Linked DNA regions of Mus musculus. Each later gene encodes a partner of the first gene's protein in a complex. Links are inferred from orthologs where the notes say so. Each region holds a gene or a part of one and is shown on either strand. Other genes may lie near its edges. The genes, in order: Fgfr2 and Fgf8.

What was found.
Region 2: the proteins of Fgfr2 (region 1) and Fgf8 are in contact, whole or in part, in a crystal structure (PDB 2FDB), measured with the Homo sapiens proteins. The link is inferred for Mus musculus from reciprocal best matches to the Homo sapiens genes FGFR2 and FGF8. Residues at the interface, in NP_000132.3 of Homo sapiens: Glu160, Lys161, Glu163, Lys164, Leu166, His167, Ala168, Val169, Pro170, Asn173, Asp247, Val249, Arg251, Ser252, Ser282, Asp283, Ala284, Gln285, Pro286, His287, Ile288, Gln289, Ile291, His293, Leu309, Val311, Leu312, Lys313, Ala314, Ala315; in NP_149354.1 of Homo sapiens: His53, Val54, Gln57, Asp62, Leu64, Ser65, Arg66, Leu68, Ile69, Arg70, Tyr72, Tyr75, Arg77, Gly80, His82, Val106, Glu107, Thr108, Thr110, Phe111, Gly112, Ser113, Val115, Thr148, Glu149, Ile150, Val151, Leu152, Glu153, Asn154.

What each region holds. Positions count from the first base shown.
Region 1 is NC_000073.6:130,193,529-130,197,333, reverse strand, and holds part of Fgfr2 (fibroblast growth factor receptor 2), read left to right. Parts: intron 1-959; coding exon 960-1,162; intron 1,163-3,805. UniProt on the Homo sapiens protein: Tyrosine-protein kinase that acts as a cell-surface receptor for fibroblast growth factors and plays an essential role in the regulation of cell proliferation, differentiation, migration and apoptosis, and in the regulation of embryonic development.
Region 2 is NC_000085.6:45,739,817-45,744,106, forward strand, and holds the start of Fgf8 (fibroblast growth factor 8 isoform 2 precursor), read right to left. Parts: upstream 3,069-4,290; 5' UTR 2,869-3,068; coding exon 2,837-2,868; intron 2,737-2,836; coding exon 2,700-2,736; coding exon of another isoform or gene 2,508-2,699; intron 2,182-2,507; coding exon 2,095-2,181; intron 1,864-2,094; coding exon 1,683-1,863; intron 1-1,682. UniProt on the Homo sapiens protein: Plays an important role in the regulation of embryonic development, cell proliferation, cell differentiation and cell migration. Required for normal brain, eye, ear and limb development during embryogenesis.

The DNA.
Region 1 (3,805 bases):
GCCTGACAGCACTACCCCTTAAGGAGATGCAGCTTGAGAATAATCATGTTTGGAAATACACTGCTTGTAGATTGACCAGTTGAGGAAGAACCAATATAGTTGACAGAAGAATATGCTAAATTAATCACAGTTCTGCTCACATGCAGTACCATCATACATTTAAAGGTTCAGTAACAAGTCAGGATAACTGGATATACAAACATTTTATTGGTTCTTAAGTATTATATATATATATATATATATATATATATATATATATATATACATACATACATACATATCTACACATACACATACATATATATCATATATTATATATGTGACTATCTCAAGATTGATACATCTGTTTGTTTAACTGAATAAATATTCTGGACCATATGAAGGGACTTGCCAAAACATTTTGGGCCAGCCTACTAGTTGAGTGTGAGCCCTTTGGAGCTACCATCCTCTGGGGTCCTGTTGAACCTTCCCCTGGAGGCACCTCCCTAGCTAGCAAGCATCATCCCTGTCTCCTTAGAAGCAACAGTGGATGAGGTCCCTTTTAATAATTCTGTTTGGTTTATGTCGAGCCGCCATCATGACAGACAGTCCTCCTGTGGTGGGTGTCCTGGGTGTCCTGCTATGACCAGGGGCTTAGCAGAATGAGGCCTTGTAGTCCCCCATTACAGTCTGGTATCAGCTGCTCACTGGTGGCAGATGCCCATTGAGGCTGGAGAAGGCAGCTGCCTGGGCTGTAGTGATAAACCGAGGAACCCTTGGCTCTTTGTTAGCATTTGGAGAGGCCCAGGCAGGAGGCCCATGGCTGCTCTGCATCTGGGTATCTCTGTGCATTGACCTGTAGATAGGGAAGCCCTTGATGTCTTTGGCGTCATTCCTTGAAGTGTGCTTCGATACATCCCTCTGGTATCCTAACTCTGTGGCCTGCTTATTTGTCCCTCTCCCGCGGATCTGCAACCCAGCGCCTGTGAGAGAGAAGGAGATCACGGCTTCCCCAGATTATCTGGAGATAGCTATTTACTGCATAGGGGTCTTCTTAATCGCCTGCATGGTGGTGACAGTCATCTTTTGCCGAATGAAGACCACGACCAAGAAGCCAGACTTCAGCAGCCAGCCAGCTGTGCACAAGCTGACCAAGCGCATCCCCCTGCGGAGACAGGTAACAGAAAGTAGATAAAGAGTTTGAAGAAATTTACTCCCCTCCCCCACCCAGCCAGCTCTTGGATCTTCTTCCCTCTGATTTTCCCCCTAACTTCTGTGAGCTCCAGAACTGCAGGCAATTCTAATCTGCCACTGTGTGGAGGTTCAGTCAGCGGTTGGGACTAAAGAGCATTAAGTCACAATGCTGCTCTGGGCTTGGTAGGCTGGCTCTGGTTTTAAAGGACAAGAGTGTGAAGACTGGAGCTGCCCAGTGGGATGGGCAGAGGAGGCCATGCCCTCTGCGCCCCTCAAGCTCACGGCTCCTTTGGGAGAACAAGCATTTGGTCTGGCTCCATTGCTTCTGTATGAGGCCAGATGTTCGGGTTCAAGTTTTACCCTTCATAGGAAAGAGAGTTTAATTTTCTTTGATTTACTATTTTAAGTAGAGATCAGAAACAGAGGATGGAGGTATACCTGAACTAATGCTTGCATAAAAGTGGTCTGTGATGTCTTCTAAACTGGGTTTTGGCTGATTTTGTCTGGTTTTTAAAACGCTGTATGCGTATAGTTTATTGTTACAGGTTTGGCTAGGGATTCAGTGATAGGATGATTGTGTGTGTGTGTGTGTGTGTGTGTGTGTGTGTGTGTGTGTGTGTGTGTGTGTGTGTGTTTGTATTTAGGTTATAAGTACATGTGTGCAGGTGCCTGTGGAGACCAAAAGAGAGTGTCAGGTCCACTAGTGCTAGAGTTTATCAGCATAGGTGGTAGGAATTGAACTCTGGTCTTCTAGAAGTGCAGCAAGCACTCTTTAACCACTGAGCCAGTTCTCCAGCCCCCAGATACGATGATTGCTATGTAGAACAGGGAGAAAATTACCTTTAACCTTGAGCTTGATCTTTGATGGCTGGCTTTGGGGGAGGTAAGGCAATAGAACCTTCCCTGTGCCATAAAACAAAGCCCTTCAAAGGTGGATAAGGAAAAAATGCTTGACTTCTGTACTTGCTCCTGGATTCCAAGAGCCAGGCATGTGTGGGTGTAAATCTTTATGATAAGATTCGGAACTTGATTCTGATAAGATTGTCACTATTTTTTTTAAATTAGCAATGGAAATGAACAACCTGGCCTGTGCTATGGGGAGGTGCATCTTAGTGTTTGTTAAAACTGCATATTCATTAGTTTCAACCCTAGAAATTCTTATTTAGTACTTCTTGAATGGATCTGTAAGAGTCTGCATTTTAAACACTTTCTCGGGTGATACTGTGTAATACCTTAAGAATCTCTGGGTTCAACCCAACCCTGCCTTTCCTGGGCCCTTTCTGTGGACAAGGTGGGAACTAGCAGGTCAGTAGTGGCTTGGACACAGGGCCTTGGCTGTTCTCAACCTAGCTTCACACTACAGGCTGAGCAGGTCCTTGTCAACGTCCTTGAAGCCTCGTTTCCAACAGGTGTTTCTTGCAGAGGGTTAAGATATAATTTGGAGCATATGTCAGATGCAGCCTTTGGCCAGCTGTTGAATGTGGAGTCAAAAAGGCTCAGTTGGGTTCCTTTTAATCCTGAGAATGCTGTGCTACTTTGAGTGACACCACTGTCATTTGTGGGACCATAGAAGCTAGATGGTGCTGAAGTTAAAGTTGGTTGCCTGAATGAGTTGCTGGAAGAGTCCTTAATAAAACTCTTACCTGGCTAGATAGTGTTAAGGCTTCAGGCTGAATGGCCACTCCTTTGGCCACTCCTTTGGCTACTCCTTCACAGCCTCTCCTGATCTCTTAGCCCTGGGCCATTCTTAACATCTGGACTCTGGTCTAGGGAGTTTAAGTAAAGGGAGCAATGTCCTGTCTCATTTGTTTTTATAATAGAGAAAAGAAGTAAAATCCATAAGTTGAGGTAGATAGGCCATTGACCCTTAATTATTTCATCATTTAAAAAACTGATGTGTGTGTGTGTGTGTTTATACATGTGTGCTGGAGCTCTTGGAAAGCTGGAAGAGAGCACTGGATCCCTCAGAGCTGGAGGGCCGGTAGTTGTGAGCTCTCTGATGTGGTGCTGGGACTAGAACTCGGGTCCTCTGCAAGAGCAGCAAGCGCTCCTAATCACTGAGCCATCTATCTCTCCAGCCTGCATCACTTTTAAAGAAAACTCTTTCTATTTCTCCATTTTCCATTTCCATTTCCATCTTTTTACATTTATATATTACATTTATATATTTATGTAGCTTGGGCACGTGTGCGTTTGTGTGGGGGCATGCACATGGCATAGCAAGGTTAGTGAAGGTCCTTTTGAAATGGTGGCCAGGGGACAACTTACATGGGAGCCAGCACCTTTCTCTACCACGTGATTCCCAGGAATCAAACAGGTCAGGTTCAGTCAGGTCATCGTATCTGATGACCGATTTTGTTGACTCCATCGCTTTTAAAGAAAAAAAGAATTAACACCTATTACAGCGCTCTTCCTTTTGCTTCATGTGAAAAAGACAGAGGCCCTGGAGTTCCCAGGCACATGGATTCAGCATGTCTTCCTTTCTGTTTGTCCAACTGAGTTTCTTCATTTTCTGTCCACCTAAGCTGTCCATTTTGTTTGTTTTTATATTCCCTGTGTGACCGGAGGGAAAAGTTGTTTTTTTTTTTTTTCATTTACCTCCCTTTCTTCTTGTATTCATTGTTATTTACTG
Region 2 (4,290 bases), on another chromosome or scaffold:
ACACAGCAATTGGGACCTCTCCTCTGCTCTCTTCAGTCCATATGCCTTAATGCCTCTTTTATGGGCTTTTTGGAGCCCCAGACTCAAATTTCTGCCCTTCAGGCAGAGACCAAGGAATCCTGAGAGCCTCCTCTGGGTCTGAAGAGAGTAAGTGGGCATCTGACCCCGCTAATGCCTGAAGATCATCACTGCCAGCCTAGTTTCTCCTTCCCACCCCAAAACCCAAGGATGCTAGGCCATTTGCTCCAGTAGAGTAAACTCTGGAGGAGCTCGGCATTCTTTCCTTTTTCTTGTTGGGAAGCCGAGAAGGGCAGCAAGCAGCCAATTTGGAGGGACAAAGGGCCTGAAGGCCAGCTCTGCCAGCCCAGCGGGGGGAGCTCGGCCACCAGGCAGGCTGCCCCCACCCCCACCCAAAGAGTCCCCCCCTCTGGTCTCCTCGGATCGATCAGGGGAGCCTGGCCGTGTAGTTTACAGAGACTTTCCCAAGCAGGCTTTTGGAAAGCTTAACATTTTCGAACCTATTCTTCCACCCCAGTGACAGATTTATCCCAGGAAAATTATGTCTCCTCCTCTAGCTTTGAAGGGAAGTCAGCTATGTCGATGCTGAAAAAAAAATGCAGCGAGACATACTCGATCCCCCAAACTGGCTCGAGAAGAGGAGAAAGTATTCAGGAAACGTTAAAAAAGGTGAAAGTAAGAATAGTTTTAATCGCTCTGCCAGACGCGGGGGTCTCTCCAGAGATTCGCAGAGAACAATCCTGAGCCTCTCTCTCTCTCTCTTTTTAACATTTACAGACTTGCAACTCCTTTCAAACTCTACATCTGAAAAAGAAAACGCCTGGTTCTTTTTCTGTTTTATATCATTCTCCATTTTTCTTCTTAGCTCTTAAAATGCCTCACCTTTTTATTACATTTTAATAGAGTTTTCCTTTCTCCTTTCATGCTCGCTTAAGTTGGTCATTATTTAAAGGTTTTTAAACTTACAATATCCCACTCTCTAAAAACAACACCAGCCACCCTGAGGGTTTGGCTTCCTTGTGGTACATCCAAGGAGTCTGGAAATTGGCCCCATTTCAAGACAAGAATATTGAATGTTGTAGAAATCAATCAGTTCTCAGCCCCTGCCCCAGTAGCTCCCTGTACTCAGCAGCCCTGCGGGAAGCCGCCAGCCGACTCAGTCCCCTGGGGTATCCACAGTGGAGCCCGGAGTCTAACTTGCAGGCCGAGTCTCCCTGTGCAATTGACCCTTCTGATCAGTTAGCAGTTCTGTCCCTTTTTCAAACTGGGCGAACTGGGGGATTTCTCTACTTTCTTTTTCCCACTCTCCTTTTGTGGGCCCTGGCGACATATCCTCTTTCAAGAACTCCCCTTAAATTTGGGCCTCTCCTCTGAACCCTCTGCCTCCACCTGCAGCCGGGTAGAGGTGTGTGAAGATTGTAAGGGAGACTCCTGGATTCATTCATTTGCGGAGCAGGGAAGAGAGGGCACCTGTTGGCCTCGTCCTCCCCAGGGTCCCTTCCCCACTATTCTCTCCAGCTGACCCCAAGGCACCTTTTCGTCTTAACTCCTTCCCTTCTCAGGTGGAGAGCCCGCAGGCCTTTCTGGCTGATGCAGCTGGGGCTGGCAAGGGGCGGCGAGGTCCAAGCTACCTCTCCTCTCCAGGGTCCGGGAATGCACCTTACCGAAGGGGTCTCCGTCTTCTGCCATGGCGTTGATGCGCTTGTTGGCCAGGACCTGCACGTGCTTCCCGCTGGTGCGGCTGTAGAGCTGGTAGGTCCGGATGAGGCGGCGGCTGAGCTGATCCGTCACCAGGCTCTGCTCCCTCACATGCTGTGTAAAATTAGGTGAGGACTGAACAGTTACCTTTAGGAAATTGAAAAATACACAGCACGCCATTATAACGCTACTCCGCCCAGGGGCCCCGAGTTGGTCCCCATTGCCCTTGTACCCGCCTCCCGCCGCGCCAGGCAGCCAGCGGGGACTGGGGGCATCCCCACAACATGCCGGCTCAGGCCACCAACCCCCTCGGGGAAGTCGCGCAGACCCAGCCCAGGATGGATGGATGAACCCGGGAATGAGGGAGTCTGGACCCACCTGTTGGGAAACACCCTGGGGCTCCCGGCCAGCTCGGAGCAGGGAAGTGGGCTCCCTGCCCAGCGCAGGCCCCCCGCCCGGGCCTTCCTAGAGGAGCAGGGTGCTTTTAAGTAGCGAGGCAACGCTACCCGACCCGTGACATTTATAAAGACAAATTTACGGAGCAAATGTTGAGAATGCAAAGGGCCTAGGTTAACACGATCGTTGGCCCAAACCGGCCACAGGTCTCCCCAGAGAGCAGCGGCGAGGATATTCGCTGCAACTACATCCCAACTACCCTTGACAAGGAACACCCGCTGACTCCAGCTCCCGCCTTCCTAGGAGGCCAGGTGTGGCTACAGGTAGCCTTCCCATCCACCCGAACTGGCCAGTCGCTGGGCTCAAGACCCTTGGGTTCTAGTCTCTCCACTCACTCGCTGTGTGACTTTAGGCAGGACACTGTCTCTCTGTTCCTTAGATCCCTCCTCGGGGTAGTTTGGGGCTGGATTTGTAAAGTTCTTTCCAGCCCTGCTGCGCTGGCCGAAGGGTCGGTCCTCGTGTCCCTGCCCGAGAGTGTCAGCTGGGTTCCCCGCGCCCGGCCCCCGCTTCTGCGCAGCGCTCCTTACCTGGGCTTGGAGGCAGAGAACCAGCAAGTGCAACAGCCTGTGGGAGACAAAAGCGGGCAGGAAAGAGGCGCGGGGTGAGCGGAGAGGGCTCGGCGGGCGCTGGCCGACGGGGACGCGGGGGCGACCGCGGTACTCACAGGCAGCTCAGCGCGGAGCGGGGGCTGCCCATGGCGCGCGGCCCCGGGAGCACTGAGAGCCCGAGCGGGGTCACGCCGTCCCACTGGAGGCCGCGGGGGGACAAGCCGAAGGTGCGGAGGCTGAGGGAGGTCGGGGTGCGGGAGGCCAGCGGCTATCCCGACGCGGCTCGTGGAATGTCGTGCTCGCCGCGCGCGCCGAACCCCTCTGAGCCGCTGCTGGAGCCGGTGGCCGCTGGCTGCTCAGGAGCCCGAGCAGGCGGGAGGGTAACGGGCCTGTGGGGTGGGTGGGGAGGTGGGAAGGGAGGGGGAGGGCAGGGGCGGGGGGCGCCGCACCGGCCGCGAGGGGGGAGCGCGGGGCGGGCGGCCGGAGCCCGCACCCCCGGCTGGGCGCTGGGGCCGGGTCGCCGCCCGGGGCGGGGGCGGGGCGGCCGGGGGCGGGGCGGCGGGCAGAGCAGGGATTGGGGGGTCTGGCCCAGGGGAGGGGTCTAGGGACCCGCGGGAGGGGCGGGGGCGGCTGGTGTGGGCGCCTCCCACTACCCTTGCCTGTCTCTTCCAGCGTTCCGGGGGCGGGATCGTCCAGGGATTGGGGGGCGTCTGGGACAACATGTTTAGTGGGGTCCCGTACACTTGAGTCCTGCAGGACTGTTGATCTGCTTAGGGTCGGGTCTGCTTATCTCTGGCCTCCTAGAAGGTCTCTGGGTCGCCTAATGTGTGCTGCGGTCGCACGCGCCCCTCTTGGGAGCCTGCAGCTAACAGTGAACTGGGCCCCGGTGCTGAGCGTCCCCTTGGGCGCCACTGGAACCCGGTGCCTTCACCTTTCTAAAAACCCAACCCCGCTGGTTTTCTGTCTCACAGTCTCCAAAGAGGCTCTGGGAGGGAGAAATGCCCCTTGCCACCCCATTATCACCTTCAGCCTTGCTCCTGTCCATCCAACTGCACTAGTCTATAAAGCTTAAGAAAAACCTTGAAGCGTCTATGTGGTAAGAGCTCAGGGGTCTCTGAAGGACCCACAGCCACTGCTTCTGAGCAATTAGCAGGGGCAAAAATAACTACGTTCAGCAACATTCAGGACACGGACCCAAGCTGCCTAGCCTTTCCCCTTCTGAGTTCCAGGTTTTCCTTGAGCAGGTACCTGGTGTCTTGTGTCACTTGGAAGAGGGAGGTGCTGGTGAGAAGGTAGAGACTTCTGTAAGCCTTTTCAAGCCCGTCGCCCCATTGCTTTCTCCATAGGGTTTCTGGGAACCCTGAGCCACTATTTTGTTACCGCAGGCACAGAGATTTCCCAGGCCAGGTATTTTTGAAGACCAGGTGGCTCCGTGGATGTACCACCCAGCTCTGCCTTCATCCACAGCCTCCCCTCTACTGATCCTCTGTGCCTCCGGGGTAGAACTAGGGGTTTGCGGTGGCCCCAGAAAGTCTTTGTAGGCTAAAGAGAGGCAAGCAGGCCCTTGTCA